Linked DNA regions of Astyanax mexicanus. The protein of the gene in region 1 purifies or fractionates together with the protein of each later gene. This does not show direct contact. Links are inferred from orthologs where the notes say so. Each region holds a gene or a part of one and is shown in the gene's direction. Other genes may lie near its edges.

Region 1 (10,889 bases):
GCGAGAGCCCAACACCCAGCAAGAGCCCTATACCTTGCGAGTACCCTACAGTCAGCGAGAGCCTTATACAAAATGAGTGGCTTTCACCCAGTAAGTACCCTATACTCGGCAAGTGCCCTACACCCTGCGAGTGCCTTACACCTAATGAGTACCCTACACCCTGCGAGTGCCCTACACCCAACAGGTGTCTTACATCCGATGAGTACACTACATCCAGCAAGTACCCTAATCCCAGCGAATGTACTACACTCAGTGAGTGCCCAGCACCCAATAAGTGCCCTACACTCAGCAAGTGCTCTACACCCTGCTAGTACCCTATACCAAGAAAGTGCCTTACACCTAATGAGTACAATAAAACGAGCAAATACCCTAACCCCAGCGAGTGTCCTACACTCAACAAGTACTCTTCAACCAGTAAGTACCTTACACCGATCAAGTGCGCTACTCTCAGTGACTGCCCTACACCCTGTGAGTACCCTACACCCAATGAGTGCCTTACCCCAGATGAGTGTCCTACACTCAGCGAGTGCCCATCACCCAGCAAGCAGCCTACACCCAGTGAGTGCCCTACACTCAATACCTTAACTCCAGCAAGTGCCCTACACTCAGCAATTACCCTACACCCTGCGAGAACCCTACACTCAGCAAGTGCACTACACACAGAGAGTGCCCTATACACAGCAAGCAGCCTACATCCAGTGAGTGTCCAACACCCAATGAGTGCCCTACACCCAGCAAGTGCTCTACACCCAGTGCCAGGACATTTATGCTTGTAAATTCTTGTATCTGCAACACTTAAATCACAAAAGCAGGAATGTGTGGATGTGAACAGGTGGATGCTGCTGTCTGCATCTTCTAACATGAAACCACATTTCTGAGAAAGTGTTCATCTAGTGCATGTAAAAGCGCCCCCCTCTGTCAACTGGGCAATTTATTTTATTTGAGTGCACAGTAGAGGCATGTCTGATAGCCAGTGATCTCTCACCAAGAGGTGCGCTACCCAAAAGTTATATATAACATCTGAGAGCCTTTGTTGTGTATTTATGTTCAGTATTATGTGTATATTCACAAAACAGATGGTAGATGGATGGTAGAATATGAGCTGCCACCTATTGTTCTTAATACTTGTCCTTTACTCCAGTGTGGAAACCCCCTACATTGTGTCAAAACGAAACTCACTGTGCTATAAAGTGACAGAGGCGCAGAGGGACAGGGTACAGAGGCAGATAGGGAACTCTGACAGGATAAGCCCACACGAGGCTCATTCACACCCTCTGCAGCAGCAGCAGCAGCAGCAGCAGACGCAATCCAGACACACTTTATCACACACTCTCTTCCAGTCACAACATCCTCTTTTATTCTCCAGCAGCGATGGCTCCATCAGGGGTGCGCAGTCTGTGTGTGGCTCTCTGGATCACTGCTATAATCATCAGCAGCAATGTGGAAGGTAAGGTCTAATGTGAATAATGCATATATTTGATATATAGATAATATATTTATTTTAATACAAAATGTAATGTAATGTAATGTTATTTCATATACTCCATTCTATTCTATTCTCTTAGGTAGTACATGCTGTTAGTTTGTATTTTATATGTTTCAAATGTTTTTTTTAGATTTATATTATCGATTTTTTTACAAGCCATTTCACACTGTCTATTTCTATGTGGAATTAGATTTCTGTAAAATAATAGATTGAACTAATATAAATATAAATGTTTGAACTAAATGTAAAATAGATATATTTAGGTAGTAGTATTTAAATAGGTTTAAAAAACTAAGCAGCAATATTTTTTGTAACTGTACAGAAATTATTGTTAAAAAATAAATTAGTGTATAAAATATGCAAGAAATGTTCACTGAAAACTTGTGTTAATTAATCATAAAACATCCACTTGTTATGCCTAATTATTATATATAAGTTAATTTAAATAGTGGATTTTTGTAACACTTTGAACACTTTGAAGTAATTCAAGTGAATATGAGAGATTTGCATTTAGTCTTCTTGTTTTATTTAATTGAACTAAAATATAGATTTGAAAGACTAAAACATTTGGAAAAAAAAAGGAGATGAAGGAAGTGGAAAAAGAAAATGAAGCTTTTAACATGATAACATAATGCCTGGTTTTATAGCCTATTATTTTATTTAATATTTTATCTACAAGTTTACTTAAATTAGCCTTGAGGAATGACACTGATGGTAAGTGTCAGTGACTGAAGGACAAACCCATTATGCAAATGTATTGTCCCAGAAACCTATGTATTTATTATATTATATTATATTATATTGTGGATTACATGCTCTAATTTTGCATTATAAATAGGTATGTAGGTATATATATTCTCAATATATGATTAATGTTGTGTACTAAAGCAGATGACGTTGTACTGTATTGAATGGGAGTCTACTTTCACATCCCGCTGCAGTAATTCCTGAGCCATAGGTTAGGCAATATTGTGGTTATATATCCTGAAACACAAGCTCTGTGTAATTTCAGTGCAGTGAAATCCAGTTCTGATTTTAACAGTCGCTGCTGCTGCTGCTGCTTTTTCTCCATTAGTCAGCACTGCAGATGTTAAGATTCATAGTACTGCAAAATCACTGACCACACACACACTTTCACACACACACACACACACACAGAGGGACCCACACACACGCCTACGCATGTGTACACACAAACAGTGCCAAGACACACTTTCGTTTTCAATGGCCTACAGTGATTTAGAAACCAGCAGGCAGTATCTAATTTAGATAAATTGACCTCAGCTTAGCATACATTCAAAATAACTCTGACCACACACCACTCATACTCTACTCACTGCTTATCTCTCTCTATTCAATTCTCTTTCTTTTACTTTCATTTCTTCCTGTTTTTTCTCCATTTAGCACTCTCTATATCCTTACCTATCCTTACATTTCTGCAGTGTAACCCGAGCCATATCTATTGAAAAATCCTGTAATATTACTCTACCGCCCGAGTACACATACAGTACACCCTTTAAGGTTAAGTGACAGCTTGTCAACAAATGCACGTGCACAGGTCTGGAAGACCATTCCTAACACCTAAATTGGAATGTTTTGTTTCAATGCAAAAACTATGAGAAAGTATCTTGCAAAAATGAAACTCAATCCCAAACTCATGCTTTAGCTGCTTATTATTATGAAATATTACCTCAAAATAATGATATAACATTTGAAGATCTTGAGTTGTTATCTTAAAACAATGGTTTACCTTTAGCATCTTAAAATAATACAATATTATCTGAAAATTATGATATGGTATCTTAAAATAATACGTTTCTCATCTTATTAATCTCCAAAAATGACTGAAAATATCATTGCAAAACAATGAGTATGAGTAATGACTTCATATCTCAGGATATTGCGGTAGTATCTCAAAAAGTGACTTATTATCTCAGAATATTGGGTAGTATCTGAAAAATTACTTAGTATCTCATAATATTGCAGTAGTTTCTCAAAAAATTACTCATCTCAGAATGTTGTGGAGATATCTCAATAAATGACTTATCTTAGAATATTGAGGAAGTATCTTAAAATAATGACTTACTATCTCAGAATAATAAGGCAGTATCTCAAGCTAATACTTTCTCAAAATATTTAAAAAGGACATTTATATGTTAAGTGACAAAAATAAGTTCTATATATATAGCTGTAACATGAAGGACTGCTTACTTTGATTTGTATTGACAGTAGTGGAGTAATAGTGAATTACACTGTGTAACTGTAGGGGGAGCTTTTGAGCAAAAACACACCACTTACACTAATGTAATCTAATGTTGCTTTAATGTATTTGCTCCTGTATCTTTTTTTCTTAGAATATGCGCTACTAGGCAAGTCTAACTTTTTTATTATAATAATAATAATTATTATTATTAACACTATTTTTATTATTATTCTCTCTATTAGTGTCCCTCGGAGATCAGGCAATGGACTGCTGCCTGTCAGTCAGCCATCAGGTTATTCCATCCAACATTGTGGTGCGCCATCGTGACCAGGTCAAAGGCGAAGGCTGCCCCATCAGTGCTGTCATGTGAGTATACCATGCAAAACTATAAGAGGTATAGGAAAATATTGATATTGTATCATATCGCAATATTTTTAGCAAAACATTTTTTAGTTTACATATAAAGATTGGTGTCAGAAGTGGTTAATTTATAGAGAGCAATGTTGTACTCTGGCATTTTATTATATTGAATCGTAACCCCTGTATAATGATACATATCATCTAGCCAGGTTCTTGCAAATACACAGCTCTACAGGATATACTGGATAATTTATTATCTTCAGAAGTATTGATCAAGAGCAAAGTTCTAATGTCCCTCAGAAATGGGAAATGAATCAAATGCACCAAATGCCACATGTAACACATCTACAATCTACACACCAGTGTTAAAGATTTTTATTCGATGCATTCTAAATGGTGTTATTTTAATCTTTTTCAGATTTGTGACCAAGAAGGGAAAATATCTGTGTGCCCCTAGTGGAGAGCAATGGGTCAACAACCTGAAGACTGAAGTGGACAGAATTCTGCACAAGTGCCAGAAGAACAACTTCAAGGTATATACTTTAGCATCTATAACCAGAAATAGAACAGAAAGTAAAGTGTCCCATATATCTTTAGTATAGTGTCCCATGACTTTTGCCATGTTCTATAGTAGCTAAAGAACACTGCAATGACATGTGGGATATGTACATGTGGTTTCTACCACATGATTTGTATCTGTATTGTATAATGTGGATCAGGTAATGGATGTTTAATGCTTTTTAATTTTTTTCTCTGCTGTTAAACATGGTGGCGGGTGGTTTTTGACCCTTAAAACACCACAAATGTCCAAAGGTAGCAATGCCAGTTGGAAAAAGAAAGCAGATGTGTCAGAAAATAGAGCTCTGGGTGTGAACAAGTCATATGCCGCTGATATTATCTAAGCCAAATCTTGGTTTATGTTTACAGAAGATTATCTGCCCCATTGTTTCCATTTTCCTTGTTATGACTCTGACTCAACACCATTCACCCAGAAACCACTGTACTCTAAAACCGCAGACCACAAGTCATAACGTCTTACTACTGAATACTTTCTAACAGCACGCGTCACTCAGCTCGCTCACTCTCCACTCCACTGTTTCTCTGTGTTACAGGGGAGACGCTGCCATGGCATGAAACTCAAGTACGACTGAGAAGAACCTAAAGATGATGAGTACCAAATAAAAGCAGGAGGTCAACCCGATCACGGCAGCTAAACAGCTAAATTATGACCGCATGTTGTTTTCAAAAATGACTTGCTCTTTTCAGTGTCTGTTCTTCACAGCAACAAACCACTTTATGTTGTAATATGAATAAGCTTTTTTTTTATCCAATTTGATATATTTTATTGTTTGTTTAAAAAAAAAACCAAAGACGTTTTTCATTTTTTTATTTTTTCATTTTTACTGTTCTGTACCTACTGTAGATTAAGCAATAAATGATTAAAGTGTGAACAATGCGTAGTGTCTTCTTTCTTGTCTGTTTAAATACTACATGTTTGTACTGCTATATTTTTACCTTCTTACCTTAGTGGATCATTTACTTTACAGATATAAATTCCGATATAAAAAAAACAAAAATATATTTTCACCAGATTTTTTACCAGATGTGATCAAACTTGATATTAATAATACACTCAACCAAACAGCAAAAAAATAAAATAAAAATACATAAACACCACATAAATTATTGTTGATGTTGAGTTTAAAGTTCACAATTTAAAATCTAATTTAATTTTAAACTGAATCAGGTTAAATGTGTGAAACATATGCATAATAATTACTTAGGTAGAAGTATAGACACTAGTGTTTAAAATAATTGTTAAAGTATTAACTCAAGCTTTTTACTCAAGTAAAAGTGTAAACATTTTAAGCATGTCTGGTATGTTTTATTACTTCAAAGGAACACATTTAGCTATTGATAAAAAAAAGCTTTATGGGTTTATTGGCTCTTTAAAGTCTTTGATTCCTTTATTCGCAACTGTGAAAAACTAAAAAAAATATGAATTTCTTTGATATTACCAAATTGAAAATCTCTGGAATATAATCAAGATGAAGATGGATGATCACAATCATCAACCCAAGCTGAACTTCTTAAATTTTTGCACCAGGAGTAAAGGCATAAAGTTATCCAAAAGCAGTGTGTAAGACTGGTGGAGGAGAACATGCCAACATGCAGGAATCTGTGATTAAAAACCAGGGTTATTCCACCAAATATTGATTTCTTAACTCTTTAACTTTGTGAAATGTGGAATTTGGGAGAAATGTTGTCTGTAGTTTATAAAATAAAACAATAATGTTAATTTTACTCAGATATATACCTATAAATAGCAAAATCAGCTATTAACTAATGAATTATGGATTCTTCCTGGAGATGTGTCTCTGTGGCTCCAGGCTGCAGGAGGCGATATACTGTGGAGATTGTGTCTGTGAGCGCTGCCAGTGATTCACAGAAGAAAAACACCAAATACCTCTAATGAAATATCAACAATGCTCTCAGTTACCTGGTTAAATGCTCTACCTGTACTCGTCCTCGCGCTGTTTTCTACAGAAGAGGCCGCGTGCAGTGCCGGTAAGCTGGATATATTAATACTGAATGAGGCACAAGATCTGTCTGTGCGCGTGTTGTTAACCTAGCATGCTAACGTTAGCATATTAGCACGAGCCCAACGCACCCGCGTTGCCAGGGAGACCTTAGTCTGGTCAGCCCAGTGTAAACAGAGCAATACATGTTAACAAGGTAGCTAAGCTAACTAAGCTAGCTATTCTGTTTGATTGAGGCATGTTTTTGAACTGACTCAATGCTGTAACCTACCGAGAGTCAGTTTATATCAGTGTAGGTCAGGGGTGTCCAAACTTTTTTTGTTGGGGGCCAGAAGGAGAAATATATTTGAAGTCACGGGCCACAGACTCTGTAATAAAACAAATAATGAAATATACCACTTTAAATAATACATTTTACTGATTACTTTCATTTACACACCATTTTACTTGACTTACTATATTTATCTTTGACAGTGTTGTGTAAACTAAGATTTTTCAAATTGATGTTTAATTTCATGATGTCTCTTAATATTAAACTCCTTAATTACGGCAACTTTTAGACTCTTTGGCCCGTTTTTCTGCGCTAGAAATGTGCACCCTCTCCGCTTTTAGACTCTTTGGCCCGTTTTTCTGCGCTAGAAATGTGCACCCTCTCCGCTTTTAGACTCTTTGGCACGATTTTCTGCGCTAGAAATGCGCACTCTCTCCGCTTTTAGACTCTTTGGCACGATTTTCTGCGCTAGAAATGCGCACTCTCTTCCCTTTTAGACTCTTTGCCCCGTTTTTCTGCGCTAGAAATGCGCACTCTCTCCGCTTTTAGACTCTTTGGCCCGATTTTCATTCTATTTCTAAAATACCTCACGGGCCGCTCTAAAAAAGGAAACGGGCCGCAAATGGCCCGCAGGCCATACTTTGGACACCCCTGGTTTAGTAGTTCTAACTTAATTTATAGAAGCATATATATATAAAGCATTACATAAAAAGCTTTCATGTTTAATAAGCAACGTTACTGAAAATCATAATTGTAATTATAAAAGAAAGTATAGAAAAATAGTCAAGTAAATCTACAACTGTCAAAATATAATGAATAAAATCTTAAAATTAGGCTCTTTTCTGAACCTCATTTTGAAATCAATTCAAATCCTGAATACAAATCAACCAGTTCATGGCCTCCAAAGCTGTCATTTCCTTATGGTTGTCTAATTTTTAACATCTATTTTTAGACATGCAGAATTAAGGTTAATTCCTGTTACTGATCTGGAATTATTAAGTGGAGTAGAGAGAGAACAGGCAGCTTTTCCAAGTGTCCTGTATGATATTTCAAAGCCCTCAAATTTTCAGAATGTAAATAAGTTATTTTACTGCAGAGAAAAGGGGATTTGTATCACCTACACCTGTAGCCTGTATACAACCAATCAACTTTCCTTCTTGCTCCGCCCCTAAACCCATATATTATCAAGTGCCCCTCCCAAACAACCCCTGCATTTTTTTAATTTGAGGTGAGCGTGGAATCAGCTAAAATCAGGTAAAGAGGCTTTGAATGCAATTTAAAATCCGTGTTTTTATGAATATAAATAAAACAGTTTATGTGCCCAAGACCTTTAGTTTCATTACAGTTGTATTTGCATATTACTCACAACATGCAGACGTCCAACCATCTGCGTCTTATAGCTATCAGAGACACACTACTATTTAGCTCTCCCTTCTGCCCTGCCCCTAAACCCATACATCACCGGTGCCCCTTCCAAACTATATTGATAAATACAAATCAAACAGTTAATGTCCTTCAAATCTTTAGTTTCATTACAGTTGTCTAGGTTCTATTTTTGTTTTCAAACATGCAAAATGTAGGGGTTGATTCCTTTTATTAATCTAAAATTAAATGGGGTAGAGGGTGGACATGCAACTTCAACTTCAAGTGTCCTCCAAGAGTTATTGCAGAAAAACAGGGTATTATATTATCTACACTTGTAGCCTGTATACGGGCCTAGACTCTTAATGTGACTTTTGTGTAGAAGCAAAGATTTATAAATGTAATACAAACACTGTATATTAATACATTTTTAAGATTGACACTAAATGAACACATTATTACAAATATAGAGGAATTTTAACCTGCACTTTAAAGTACTTTTACTACTAGTAATGGGAATACCGTTTCTTTTAGAGAGATGTCATTTAGAGAGACGGTTCTTTCAGTTCCCAACTAGCTCCTCAAAGTTGTTGTTGGTTTAATTATTTTTTACCAAATTAGGTGTTTGACGAATTATTAATGTAAAAACATACATTTATATAATGTGACTTGTTAGCGTTATTAGTTTCCAGGTGTGAATGGGGTGCATGGCTTTTTAAGTTTGGTGCATCGGGTACAATAGTCTCATATTGTCCACTGGATATTTAACATGGCACCTCATGGTAAAGATCTCTCTGAGGATTTGATGAAAAAGATTGTTTCTCTCCACAACTGTGGCCTAGGCTGTACGAAGACTGCTGTTGTTTTCAGAATACAGTTAATCTATACTACTATAAATGCTGTACACTGACAACAGTTTACTTTTTGTTATGTCCTCTGGAATGATATTTGCTCCATCCAATACTTTTGGGATGATGATTTGGAGTGATGATCATCCAACATCTTCCCTATACCATCCTTAACTTTTGCAAAATGTTTGCAGACACCTGCTCATCCTGTTTCTTCTGCTTTCATTAGTATTAATAGCTTCACTACTCCACAGTCACACTTTGGATAGTGCAGTTTCACTGCTCTACAGGCCAAGGCTGGGGGGTTTCATCACGCTTAAGGTCACAGTGTCAGGAAGAACTTCCTCAATGTTCGAACAAGAAAAAGTGAGAGAAACCAAGATTCAATAGAGGAACCATCACCTGCCTCCAGTAGTAGTAGCCATTCAAGTTTGCAAAAGGTTAAAAATAGGTCATAGGAATTATATAGGAATGATCTCCTCATCAATGTTATATTGAAATTTAGTGTATTAATTGTTAGTTTGACCATTTGTGCACCAGATATTACATTATTTAATTTATTTTGTTTAAAAGTCTGATGATACTTTAAAGCTCAAGCGATGAAACATAACAGACCAGTAGTTCAGCTCAATCTACACGTATTTGATGGACGTCCATCACTAGTCTAGTTCTACTTCTCCACAGCCCAAAACTGAAGGTCACAGTGTCCGGAAAAACTTCCTCAATTCTTCTATAAGAAACACTAAGAGGAACCAATATTCAATAAAGGAACAATCACCTGGACATGATAGTAACTATTTAAAGTTTGCAAGAAAGACTAAAAATAGGTTGTGGGATAATACAAAAGATTTTCCATGAGATTCACTACAAACTGGGTATATTGTGGGAAAATGGGTGATACAGCTCTGGAAAAAAATAAGAGACCTCTTAAAAATTATGAGTTTCTTTAATTTTACCAAATTGATGACCTCTGGAATATAATCAAGAAGAAGATGTATAATCATAAGCCATCAAACCAAACTGAACTGCTTGAATTCTTGCACCAGGAATAAAGGCATAAAGTTATCCAAAAGCAGTGTGTAAGACTGGTGGAGGAGAACATGGACAAGGTATTAGGACTTATTTTATATTACCACTTGGCATGTTTTATAATGGCCCACATTATTTTGACCATATTTGATCTTTTGTTGGGTTATCTCAATACCTTGGTTCTTCAAACCCCCCACAGTGACGCACAACGTGAGTTTTAATTGGTCATAATGTTTGCAGTTTGCAGTAAAACCCCCGCACCTTCCAGGCTTCTTGGTGTGTCCTGTAAACATGGGTTTAGTTGGGTATTACCATGCTGGGTTTTTTCTTCACTTTAGGAGTGTTCTTTGGGCTCTGAGGTTCTTTCTGTTATTCGCTCTCTACCTTTCTCTCTCTTTCTTACTTTCTATATTTTCTTGTTGCTTATTTTTTTCAGCCCATGAGCAATGGGTCATGGGCTGCATGATGTTATTCAAGTTAAATACGGTTACATACATTCTCAAAAGTCGAACATTACAGTGCAGAAGTAAATATGTAATTATACAGCTTTGAGGAAAAATAAGAGACCACTTAAAATTATGAAATTCTTTGATTTAACCAAATTGAAAATCTCTGGAATATAATCAAGAGGAAGATGGATGAACTGAACTGCTTGATTTTTTTGCACCAGAAATGGCATAAAGCTATCCAAAAGCAGTGTGTAAGACTGGTGGAGGAGAACATGCCAAGATGCCTGAAAACTGTGATTAAAAAACAGGTTTATTCCACAAAATATTTATTTCTGAACCAT
Region 2 (11,375 bases), on another chromosome or scaffold:
AGAAATCAGTTGCGACATAATATTGGCTTTATATATTGGCCATGTGCCACTTGTGCTCTCTGAATACTGGCATCAGCCATTAATAAAACAATATCGGTCAACCACTAATCCTCATACTCAATTAAAGACTTGTGTAAAAGTGTGAGGGTATACTCACAGGTGGCCAGTAGCAGGTGGTGTAAGTTCCCGCTGCAGGTAAAGCGCAGGCCAGTCACTGGTAGACCTGAAATAACACTGCTGTTGTCCCTCAGGGTCTGGGTCAGTTCACCACTGTCTGTGCTGTACACCTGGGTCAATCATAATGAATCATAAAGAAAAAAAAAGTCAGAACACATTTCACATCATTAAACAAAAAACGGTGAAGATGCAGGAGTCAGTCATCAGTTAAAATCCCCCTCTCTACTCCACCCACAGGCCTCCACGCCTTTACACACCGCTGTTAAAAGAAGAGTGGATGCTACCCAATGGCACACATGATCTTGTCCCATCTTTTTAAAATGTTGCTAAATGTATACTAAATGAGTTAATATGTTTAATGAAATGGTGAAATGTCGTACTTTTTAAATCAGATGTGCTTTCTGGAATTGTTGGTAGTAGTTTTAATAATTATAATGTTTTAAAGTGATGAACTGAAAAATCACATAACATTACATAACGTTCATGCACAACACCACCAATAAAGCCTTGTTAGACTGTTCCATAGGGCTGGGCAATATAGAAAAAAATTATATCACAACATTTTTATGTATGCATCATGAGTGTCAGATCCCTAAAAACACAATTTAAATACTTTGCAATACTAGTAAAGTTATTTTGATTCACAATATACTGCAATTCATCCAAAGCTGGGTTAGTGTTCTTTGATCACTGAGAATGTCTTGATATGCTTAAAAAGTATATTGCTGAAGAAAATGTATCACGATAGGATAAAATACTATTTCACTGGCAAACTCTACTGTTTCAAAGGGCTACTAAGAAAGAGTCTTTATAGGAGAGTTTTGCAACAAGGATTCATCATTCATATATATAACGCCAATAAAGAAACTCATGCTGCAACTTTTAACAACTATTGTGTCCTCAAATCAGCTGCCTAGCATTAAAATAACCAATGCCAGCACAGTGTTTCAGGCAGCCATTACCTCTGTCTATAGTGTAATTAGGAGATGGCAGTGGCCAGAATGATGGAGGTAAAGATGAGGTCCTAAACAACTGTTCACACGAGTTCTAGAAAGGCAAAATCTGATACAAACTTTGATGGTTCCATTGCAGAGCCCAACAGCAAGCAGCGACCCATCGGTACTGAACTGACACGTCATGGCTACACAGTCACACTCTCTGGAAGAGATGGAGAACAAGCAAATTTACAGAGAAGTGCATACATTTTAATCCCATCCCACCAACAGTCTTCCACTTTACGCCGTGATTCTTGTGAATATATCTACGCTGATGGCCATGGTGGTCTGGAAATGAGGTGTGTTCAGGTACATTTATGGTGTATTGCGATCTTGTCAATGGAAAACACAGGTGTGCCACTGACTGATTTGAACCCTGACAGCATTCAGACGTTTATTGCTATTTTAAGAACACAGGTGTGCTGTGTGTGTGTGCCGTACACCCTTGATTGTTACACAGACACGCAGCAGTGTACAATCCCAACCTTTACATTAACAGTAAACAAAAATACAATAACATTGCTGTTCCCATAAGTTACCTTCTCATGCACCTTCAACAGAGTGAACAAGCAGACTCCCTGCACCGTTAAAATGGCAGTCCGCCAAAGTCAGAGTGCACCTGGTTTCTAAAGGGAATGGCAAGTAACACGTTATACCCAAAACACACCAGGATTAATTAAGAGAATTAGTATATGCCTTTTGTTTCAAGCTGCGCAAGATATATTTTATGCATACCTGCGATACCAAAGACACTCTGAAAATAAAGCTAACCAGCGGGCAGTAGAGGGCTTGCCTATAGACCTTTAAATCTCTTCTAGTATTATTAATAGTTGTCATCGTATCAATAGTTGGTTTGATAAATAAGAGATTAGTTATGTTAAATCAATTGAGCTGCAAATGGAATTGAACACATTCACTGAGGCACAGGCTAGGAGTTTTCAGAAGAGATTGTTCTTCGAGATTTGTTCTTCAGACTAGCTCACACCATCTCCGAGAGCCAGTAACATCGCGGCTATAACCCCTACTGCCATCTACCCTACTAACTTCAGATAGAGAAAGTCTTGTTACTGTTTACGGTCCTCATGTTTACCTGTATCTGTTCAAGCAAAAACTTTTGCTGAGATAAATGCTTTTAAATTATGTTTTAGCTGCCTGGAACATTTGCACAGCACTGTACATGCAAAGCAGAGCAAAGTTCCTAGGTTAAACCAGAGAAGAAAAATAAACCCAACCAACCCAACAGCGAGAGAAAATGACTGATTGTAAGGCCTAATTCAGGCTTACACTCACATGACTGATTGTATGTGTAAATCTCCGTCTGTCTTGGGCTGAGTGGGTTCACCATTCTCCTCTTTCTTCTCTGGGAACGGTGTCGGGTCCTGGTCTGAGACGTCACTCTGTGTGTTAGGAGCTTCGTTGGGTTCTGGTTTAGGATCGCTTGCAGGTTCGCTGTCATCATCACTCTCCGAGTCTGGACAATCAACTGGCAAGCTGTTGGACAACTGAGCAGAAGACCATTTTACATACCCCTTAAAGTGAGAACACAGTTTTACATTTTTTTGTACAATACTACATTTGTGAATTATGTGAAGCATTCAGCAAAGTTTAAATGGAAAACACAAAGCAGAAATACAATAAAACACATCTCACAAATCACCGTAATGCACTCTTGATACTGTCTGGGCATTGTCATAATATTCTAATGAACATGTGTGACTGATTTTTCGTTTACATTTATGTTTACATTACCAAGGCATCGCACACAGCCTTACGACGGAAAAGCTGTGCAGATTTTTAGCCTCTTTAGCCTTTTTACACAATGAAATAACTTTGATAATTTGACTTGAAGAGAGAGAGGAGCTATATTAGTCATGTGATTGGTCAGAGTTGTGCTGAAGTCAGTGTGACCAATGACGTGGGAAATTTCATTTTATGCATGTTTATTTTATTAGATGTGCTTAATCACACTTAATATTTACAGTGGTAATTCACTTCATATTAGCTCGTTTTGCAGAGTTACTCTTTAGGTCATTCCGACATTTGTGTACGTGCTAGCTAGCAGAGAAACCTTGTCTGATAACCATTTTGGGTAAACACCAGGATGTGAATGTGAAGAGGCTATGCTGACATTTTAGACAGAAAACAACTCTGTCTGGGAACAGAAAGGAGTTTCTGTCTTGGGATAGAAGGGAGATTTGAAGGATGCCGTTGCAAGCGGAAACCCTATGTCCATATATGGTTTACGGTTCCGGATACAGCGGAGCGGGGATAAATAACGGCTCTGAGAAACTGTTACTCTCAGAGCACTTTCAGAGCGTGATGATTTCATGACTGATTGTACTCTCAATAATTTGCATTAATAAAAACTTGTTACTCATCTGACACGACTCAGAACTTAATATTTGTCTTTATTAATCGTCACAGGTATTTCCACCACACCAACTGTTAGCTCTGCCCATTCTACATCGAGAGGAGAGTGACAGTGGTGAAATACAGAGGAGATTTATTACACTTGTAAAAGATATTCATAAGGAATACTTTGTATGTTTACACAGAGGCCAAGCTAAATTAGCCAAATTAGAAATAAAACTCAAATTTAGCTTCCAGGGATTTATCAAACACTTTTCACCTTTTATAATTTGACAAACTGTATTTTAAGACTATAAGTAATTTTAAGACTGAAAACAGCTTGAGTGTATTAAAATGTAGGCACCTGTGAAAATGAAAAAAGACACCTACAAAGGAAGTCTAGTAATATTTACAATTATATTATATATACAATTTTATTATTTTGGTAATTCAGTGCTAATGATGGTAAATCATTCATAGTTCATCTAAACAACTAGCTCACAAGATCTCAAATACTTTCTTCTTTATTTCTTTTACTGTATCTGTACCTGCATTCATCCTAATAAGAACTAATGAGTGTTTTCAGTAAAAATTTATTTTTTTGGTAACACTATATTTTAAGAAATAATTATTTTGTGGTTTTAGAATCTAAGGAGTGAAATCCTTAAATTAGGTTTCCATTAGCCCAAGAACATAAAACATACAATGAAATCAATTTTTAATAAAACATTTGTAGCTATAACTACAGCAGTTACAATAGTCATAGTTACAATAAGATCAAATATACAGAAAAACAACTAGGAACTTAATTTTGGTCTTCCCATGGTCTTCAGAAGTACCAGCTCATTTTATTTCATGTTGTAGATGTGACTTGTAGAATGTTCCAGATGTTGGTAACAGGAGTGAGAGAAACCCAGGGACACAACTAAAATGTGTAACTTAAATATTATGTATTTTTTATGGGAAAAAATTTAAAGCATAGATGGATAGATTTGGAAAACAATGAAGGATTATAATAATTATATTTCATGGTAAAGTTTATAGTTAGAGTGTGGGGACAGGTAACAAATTGTACTTTTCCAGTGTTCTAAGTAGTTTTATTAATGTTTTTAATTACATATCTTACTTTTAGGTCAATGTACAAGACACTATGATGAATAATAAAATAATAAAATTTTAAAGTTATTTTGTTTGCACATTTATACATGTACTTTCCTGGGGACAGAAATGGCAACCATGCGGCAGAATATGCCAAAGATTCCCTTAATAAATCTAAAATTTTAAAAAATGAATGAAATTTAATTCTTATTGGTCAGCCCACCTGAACTATAAAAACATCGTTTATATTTATATAGTAAAAACTCTGTGTTTGATGAGATTTTAAGCCCAACGGTTTCCACACAGGTAACTTATGTTAACTATGTTTTGGAGCTAATCTTATTTCTACTCGACTCATTATTACATTTATTCACTGTTTTATTCGCGTTTAATAAAATATTCTTACCTCTAAAGTCATATCCAGGTGAAATTTCTGTTTTTATCTTTTAACTGTTTTTCTGTTTTCTCAGCTGAAACGCTTTCCCTCAGCCCAACAGCCGCCGTTGCTCAGTAACCACGACCCCGCGAGGCTTTGGGTCCATGTCAAATCCCTCCCTCGTTCACTACGAAGTGAACACCTATTTATCCAGCAGTTAATGGCATACATAGTGCACTACGAAGGGAGCATAAAGCCTTCTGTGACAGAGCCTCTGGCTTTTTACTTTTGTGTTTGAAGTCTTTAAATGCTTTGAATTCATATTTGTAGTAGCACCTATATTTCATCAGTGAAATTAAAAAAACTTAAAATAACAACAAAAAATAATTTCAAAAACTAATAGATTATGGGTAATAAAGGTGGTCATTTTATGTTTTTACTCCTTCAATATTTTAAGCTAAAACTAAATTCAATCAAAATAATTAAATGAAATCTCTAAATCATAAGACAAACTGAAATAGATCTATTAATATTAATGTGCCTTATATATGCAATATGAAACTTTTTTCTGTTTCTATAACTTTGCATATTTTATAAATAAAAAATAATAAGCATGAGTCAAATAGATAGGTTATAGTTAATATTTGTGAATTGTTTCATTGCCTTGTATATTTTATAAATTAAATTAATTAACAAAAACATTTTAGTTAAAATTATAATTTTAAAATACATTAAATTATTTTTATATATATCTCGACCTATTTTATATAAATTAAGATGTGTTTTTGTTCATTTCTTAATACGTTTACTATAGAGCAAATACTTTATAGTGAAGGAGTTAATGAGTGAACCAACTTATATTTACAAATGTATTAAAACACTCCCTATTTTTGTTTAATAAAATCAATCAATCAATCTTTATTTAAACTTTGAGTACATTAAAAGTAGCCTTCATTTACAATGTTGCCAAGCCAATACACAGGAGTAGAAAAAGGATCCAGCATTTTATTAAAATATAAAAAGAACATCGGGGATCACAGTAGCAGCAGTAATTGAAACCAGCTTTATATTCTGATAGGAATAGGAACCAAGTTTACACTGAGAAATATCAAAAAAGACTCTAGGATTTTAGTTAGGCATGTCAATTTTGAAATTGGCCTAAAATTATTAAGATGCAAAAATTCACATGAAGATGAAATAGACAATGAAACTATTTTTATATATTTACTATTTTACTATATTTATAAAATATGAAATGTACGTAATATGTTTTAAAATGACTGGAAATGCAAGAGCTTCAGAAAGAAAGAGGCCAGCCTGTCCAGGGATCCAAAATATATAAAAAAATAAAAAACATTATATTGTTAATATTAATTGTTTCTAGATGTTAATAGATAGATTACGTTTATAGCGCCAGGAGTAGTCGGAGTCCTCTGATTGGCCCATTGGAACGGTGACCATTTCCTTGACAACGGCGGCCGCTGCTGCTGCGTGTTGTTGTTGGAGTTGTCTGGCGGGTTTATTGAGCTGTGTGTGTTTTTAGCTCTGGTTTTGGTTTATTCTCTACCGAATATGAAATGCCCGTAGCTGGTTAACGGCAGCAGCCGCTCACCTTCAGGCTGCGGGGTTTACTGTCCGTGTTTTCAGGTTAGTCACTGCTGTTTTTAACCTCTCAGATACCTGTGTTAGCTTAGCTATCGGAGCCTGTTTATAGCAAGACTACCGACTTCCTGTCTCCCCGTTCTATGAGAAAATGACTGCAGACCGCTAGGGGGAGCCCGCGAGTGACTCTTCAATGAATGGGGGTGAATACAGCTAAACAGCTAAAAACTTAAATTAAAAACAGCGCCCAACTACTTTTCCAGGGTGTTTCTATAATTTTAGAAATAAGAATAAATTGTTTTGCTAAAATATGTAAGAAACCGTACTTGCCTATTTCTGTCTTTCTATAGTAAACGATTTTTGACAACAGATTCGTTAGCATTCCTGCTACTGTGTACTGACTGGTTGGTGAGCTGATAACAGAGCATATTTAAAGAGTTTATAACGAATTTAACAGCTTAAAAATATGCCTGTGCTGCTGAAACATTTGAAATTGTTCCGTGTTGAGGAAATAAGAAAACTTTTAAGTATACAAATTATTATAATTATTATTATTATTATTCATAAACTGTGATTTTGTTCAATCGCTCTATTTAAACACATTTATTTTGGACTCACTCGGGAGCGCCCCCTGGTGGTCTGGCAGACACGGAAGACATTTTGAAGTGTGTATTCTCCTCTGTAAGATTTGTTGGTGTTTCTCGCTTTAGCAGAGCTTCAGAACCCGCCGACTCCTGTCTGGGCTCTGTGTAGGAAATATCAGGAAGCGTTAGTTAGTTACTAATAACGAAAAACAAAATATAGAGTCTTTGTAAATGTTGCTAGTTAGCTTTGTTAGATTTATATGCTTCTTTAATAGGGGCCTGGGTTAGCTAGTTGTATTAGTTAAGCAAGCTAAACATGTTACCAGTCACTAGTATGATCAATCGCAACAATATTCTGTGATTAACTGTGATTAATCGCACGTGTTCTTCTTAAGACGTACGTTTTTTATAGTGGATTTAAATTTAAATAAAAGAATGAATAGGCCTATAAGAAATGTAAAATGCAATTATATTTATATTAGTGGTTTTAATTAAAATACTATTATATACTTGTATGTTTGAGGGGAGATAAAGCCAATGTGGTGTGCTGAAATAAAGAATGCTTGATAAATTGGATAGAGGAACCTTTTTTACTTTATTGTAAATATATCATCTTGGTTGTAAGGATTTCTGAATTAGTATTAAAGAGCATTTTCATACCGGTAGTTGGTTTCTATGGTCTGGATTAGTTGATGAGTTTGTTTACTTGGAGAGTTTCTCCCTCTTTTTGGTTTGGTTTCACACAAACGCACCAAAATACACTCCAATAAACTATGTGAGCACATTTTCTCCTCTAAGTGGTCAGAGCTGTCTGTCTTGGGAGCAAGAAAGTAAAGATAGCAATTCGATTCTGTGTTCCAGTGTGTATATCTGCAGTGTGAAGCTGCTTTAACACAACGCAAAAAATACTGCTGCTTCCCTTTTAAACACAATGGGTCATGCATCGCAAATGTCTAATAGGCTGCAAGCAGTGTATATAAATTGCAACGGAAGTTGGGGTCAAACCTGGTGGCGTAAGAGTTCTAGTTTAATTATATAGCGGACTGTGTGCAGAGGATACAGTCTACTCTATAATCAGAGTTAATACTTACAGAGGGAGGGGCACTTCTAATAGACAATTAAGGCTACATTAAATGTTACATTAAATGTTATATGATACAAACAAGCTTTTTCAAGCACCATTGTCAAATACAAGGTAAAAACAGCATGTTAATGCATTGTAATAAATTGTTTAGATAATGTCTGATATACATTTTAGATTAATTGGGTCATGAACAGTCCAACTGTTTTGAATATACAGTAGCAGACACAATTTTTTTTTACATTTTTTCCTACATAGTAAATTAATACTGAAGTCATTCAGAATATGAAGGAACATATAAGGAATCATGTAGTAACTTAAAAGTGTTAAACAAACCAAAATACTTGGTGATGCATTTAGGTGCCTCTTATCTGTGGTGCTGTTAACATGCCATTTCTGAGGCTGGTAACTCTGATGAACTTAAACCTGTGCAACAGAGAGAACTCCTGCTCTTCCTTTCCTGGGGTGGTCCTGATGAGAGCCAGTTTCATCGTAAAGTCTTTGATGGTCTTTTTTGCGGTGACTGCTCTTTACTTTCAAAGTTCTTGAAATTTTACAGATTGACTGACCTATTCTTTACTTAGTTTAGTTAATCTTGTCATAAAATGAATTAGAACATTACTCAGATAGGGCTATTCACTGTATACCAACTCAATCTCACAACACAACTAAAGCTCTCAAACACATTAAGAGGCAAGAAATTCAAGTAATTAACTCTTGATAAGTTCAGCACAGCTGTTCACTGAAATTCTGTTAACTGCCATTCCAGGTGACTCGACCTTATAAAGCTGACTGAGAAAATGCAGATATGTACAAAGCTCTCATCTAAGCAAGAGGAGCTACTTAGAAAATATAAACTACATATTCTGGTTTGTTTAACACTTTTTTGTTTACTAAATTATTCCATATGTTTTTATTCATAGTTTGGCTGACCTTAGTATTCATCTACAATGCAGAACTTGATGAAAAAAACACTACATGTAAGTCCAAAGTTTTAACTGGTACTGTTTATGAAGTTATATTTACTTATTTTATATTTTTTCTAAAATGGGGGATATCTGTCTTACTAGTTAGGTAGCAGAAATTGTTGTAAATCAAATTCAACTTTTAAGTTTGCTCTTAGGAGTGAAGAGACCAGTGTTTTATATCTCCACGCCACAACGCACACTAAGGCTACGTTCACATTACAGGCCACATTGCTCAAATGCGATTTATGCTCAGTTGGATTTGGCTATCTTGACAGTTCACATTCACAAATGTAAGTGACCTGCATCTGTGTGTAGTGTGAACGAATCTGTCTCTGAAACACCTCAAATAATATAGAAACGTTGTCTTCTTTACCAACAACAAAAAACATCATACGACTCGTAGCTTTATAAAGGGTAATGGATGAGTTTGTTAGCAGCTCATATGTGGAGCATCTTTTGCTGGAGTGGAGAGTAAACAGCTGGTCTGAAGTTCATGCTCAGGTCGAGGAGGAGAAAAAAGGACAGGCGGTTTGCGTTTGCTGCACAGCTGCACCAAGAGATTTGTGGGTATGAGAGAGAAGCACGTAGCGCAGCGTAAAAACAAAAAGACTCATGAATTCTGATTTGACTGTTCATATTCATGTCACATGTCCGTGGATGGGATACATATATGATTTAGAACCACATATGAAAGTGACTCAAATCTGATTTGAAAAATTAAGCAAGGATTTAAGTCACTTTAGCCTGGTTATGTAAAAATAGTCCAAGAGATTTTAAAACCATAATAATCTGAGAATTGGGTTTATTTCATACACTGGGAAGGTAGAGCTCACCTGAATTATTTTTTCATTTTCTAGGGCAAAAAGGCTGATTTAAAATCTTTTTTGTAATTGGTTGTGAATTAATAATAAATTAAATATATCCTGTCAAAACATGTATGCACACATACTGTAAATAATATTTAATTTTTATTCCAGATTCATATTTCATATTTAGTCAATATATTAAAACAAAGCATTTGCATTGTATATTAGTGTCTTTAAGGTCTTTATTTTTCTGTATAAATACAGCCCATTTAGAAATTGGAGGCACGGCCATTAAATATTTAAATTTTCTAAACTAGATGTTTTTCTCAATAATAACTGGTAACATTATTAATAGCCATCCAACATAAACCTAGTAAATCCAGCATTCACTAGGTTCATGTTGTATCATTTCACCACATAAGTACATTCACTATAACCTGGTGTAGAAGCCTTCTTGTTCCTTTTTTAAACCCACTTTCCAATGCTGACATGACATTCTAATGACATTTTTTTTTTCTTCAGAATGCTGTCTTGCCACTGGTTTCTGCGGCTGGTCTTGGCTTATGTTGCAATTTTACCATTGCATACAGATTCACAAAACACTGGAATCTACACAGAACAGCCAACAGTGGGCTGGGATGAGTACGTAGATGATCCAACAGCTGCAGCAGAAACTCCACCTACAACAGACTCTGTAACTGTCAGTGCTCCAGATCCCCTGGACTCCATCACACCGAGCGCGTTTCCACAAGAGTTTGAGGAGCGTGCTGTACCCACCATCGCCCCCACAATCATGAATCCAATTAATGGTACTTCTCTAACTTTCAAGATCTATAATGAAATTAATTAAAATCTATACATCAACAAATTATCTTCTATAGATAAGCGATTTGTTTCATGCTAGAAAGCAATATGTGGACATATTTTATATGCAAATGTATATCCAAATGTTGTTAAATCTAAATTTTACAAATGTTGCAGATATAAGGAACAGTACTTTACGAATAGTTTGTTGCTACAACAGGTTCTTGTTACCAAATATGATTGGTTTACAGTTTTTCAAAATAAAATAATGTTATCTAAATAGCTGTGTCTGCTTAGCTTAGATTGTTTACATACTAAACATCTGGGAATCTAGTAAAATGCCCAATATCTCAGGATGTTCCTCTGGTTGCAGGGTGTGTGTGTGACATTACGCTGGATTTTTGCGACATCGGCTGCTGCTGTGACGTGATGGACTGTGGAGTTGCCAACCTGAGCTCTGTGTTCAGAGGATGTGTGCAGGAGACAAGGTAAACCAGAGACAGGCTAATATTGAATTCCTAGAGCAATAAAGAGT

The links.
Region 2: the proteins of tctn2 (region 1) and tectonic-3 purify together in Homo sapiens (affinity purification with mass spectrometry; 3 studies listed by BioGRID and IntAct, with this or other methods). This does not show direct contact. The link is inferred for Astyanax mexicanus from reciprocal best matches to the Homo sapiens genes TCTN2 and TCTN3.

Annotation. Positions count from the first base shown.
Region 1 is NC_064429.1:30,826,361-30,837,249, reverse strand, and holds the start of tctn2 (tectonic-2), read left to right. Parts: upstream 1-6,478; 5' UTR 6,479-6,535; coding exon 6,536-6,617; intron 6,618-10,889. Other genes in the region: ccl19a.1 (C-C motif chemokine 19a.1), read left to right, coding at 1,372-1,447, 3,932-4,055, 4,468-4,582, 5,162-5,200.
Region 2 is NC_064422.1:3,665,388-3,676,762, forward strand, and holds the start of tectonic-3, read left to right. Parts: upstream 1-6,465; 5' UTR 6,466-6,642; intron 6,643-10,558; 5' UTR 10,559-10,559; coding exon 10,560-10,845; intron 10,846-11,213; coding exon 11,214-11,328; intron 11,329-11,375. Other genes in the region: WD repeat-containing protein 5B, read right to left, coding at 158-287, 1,251-1,335, 2,463-2,674, 5,026-5,037.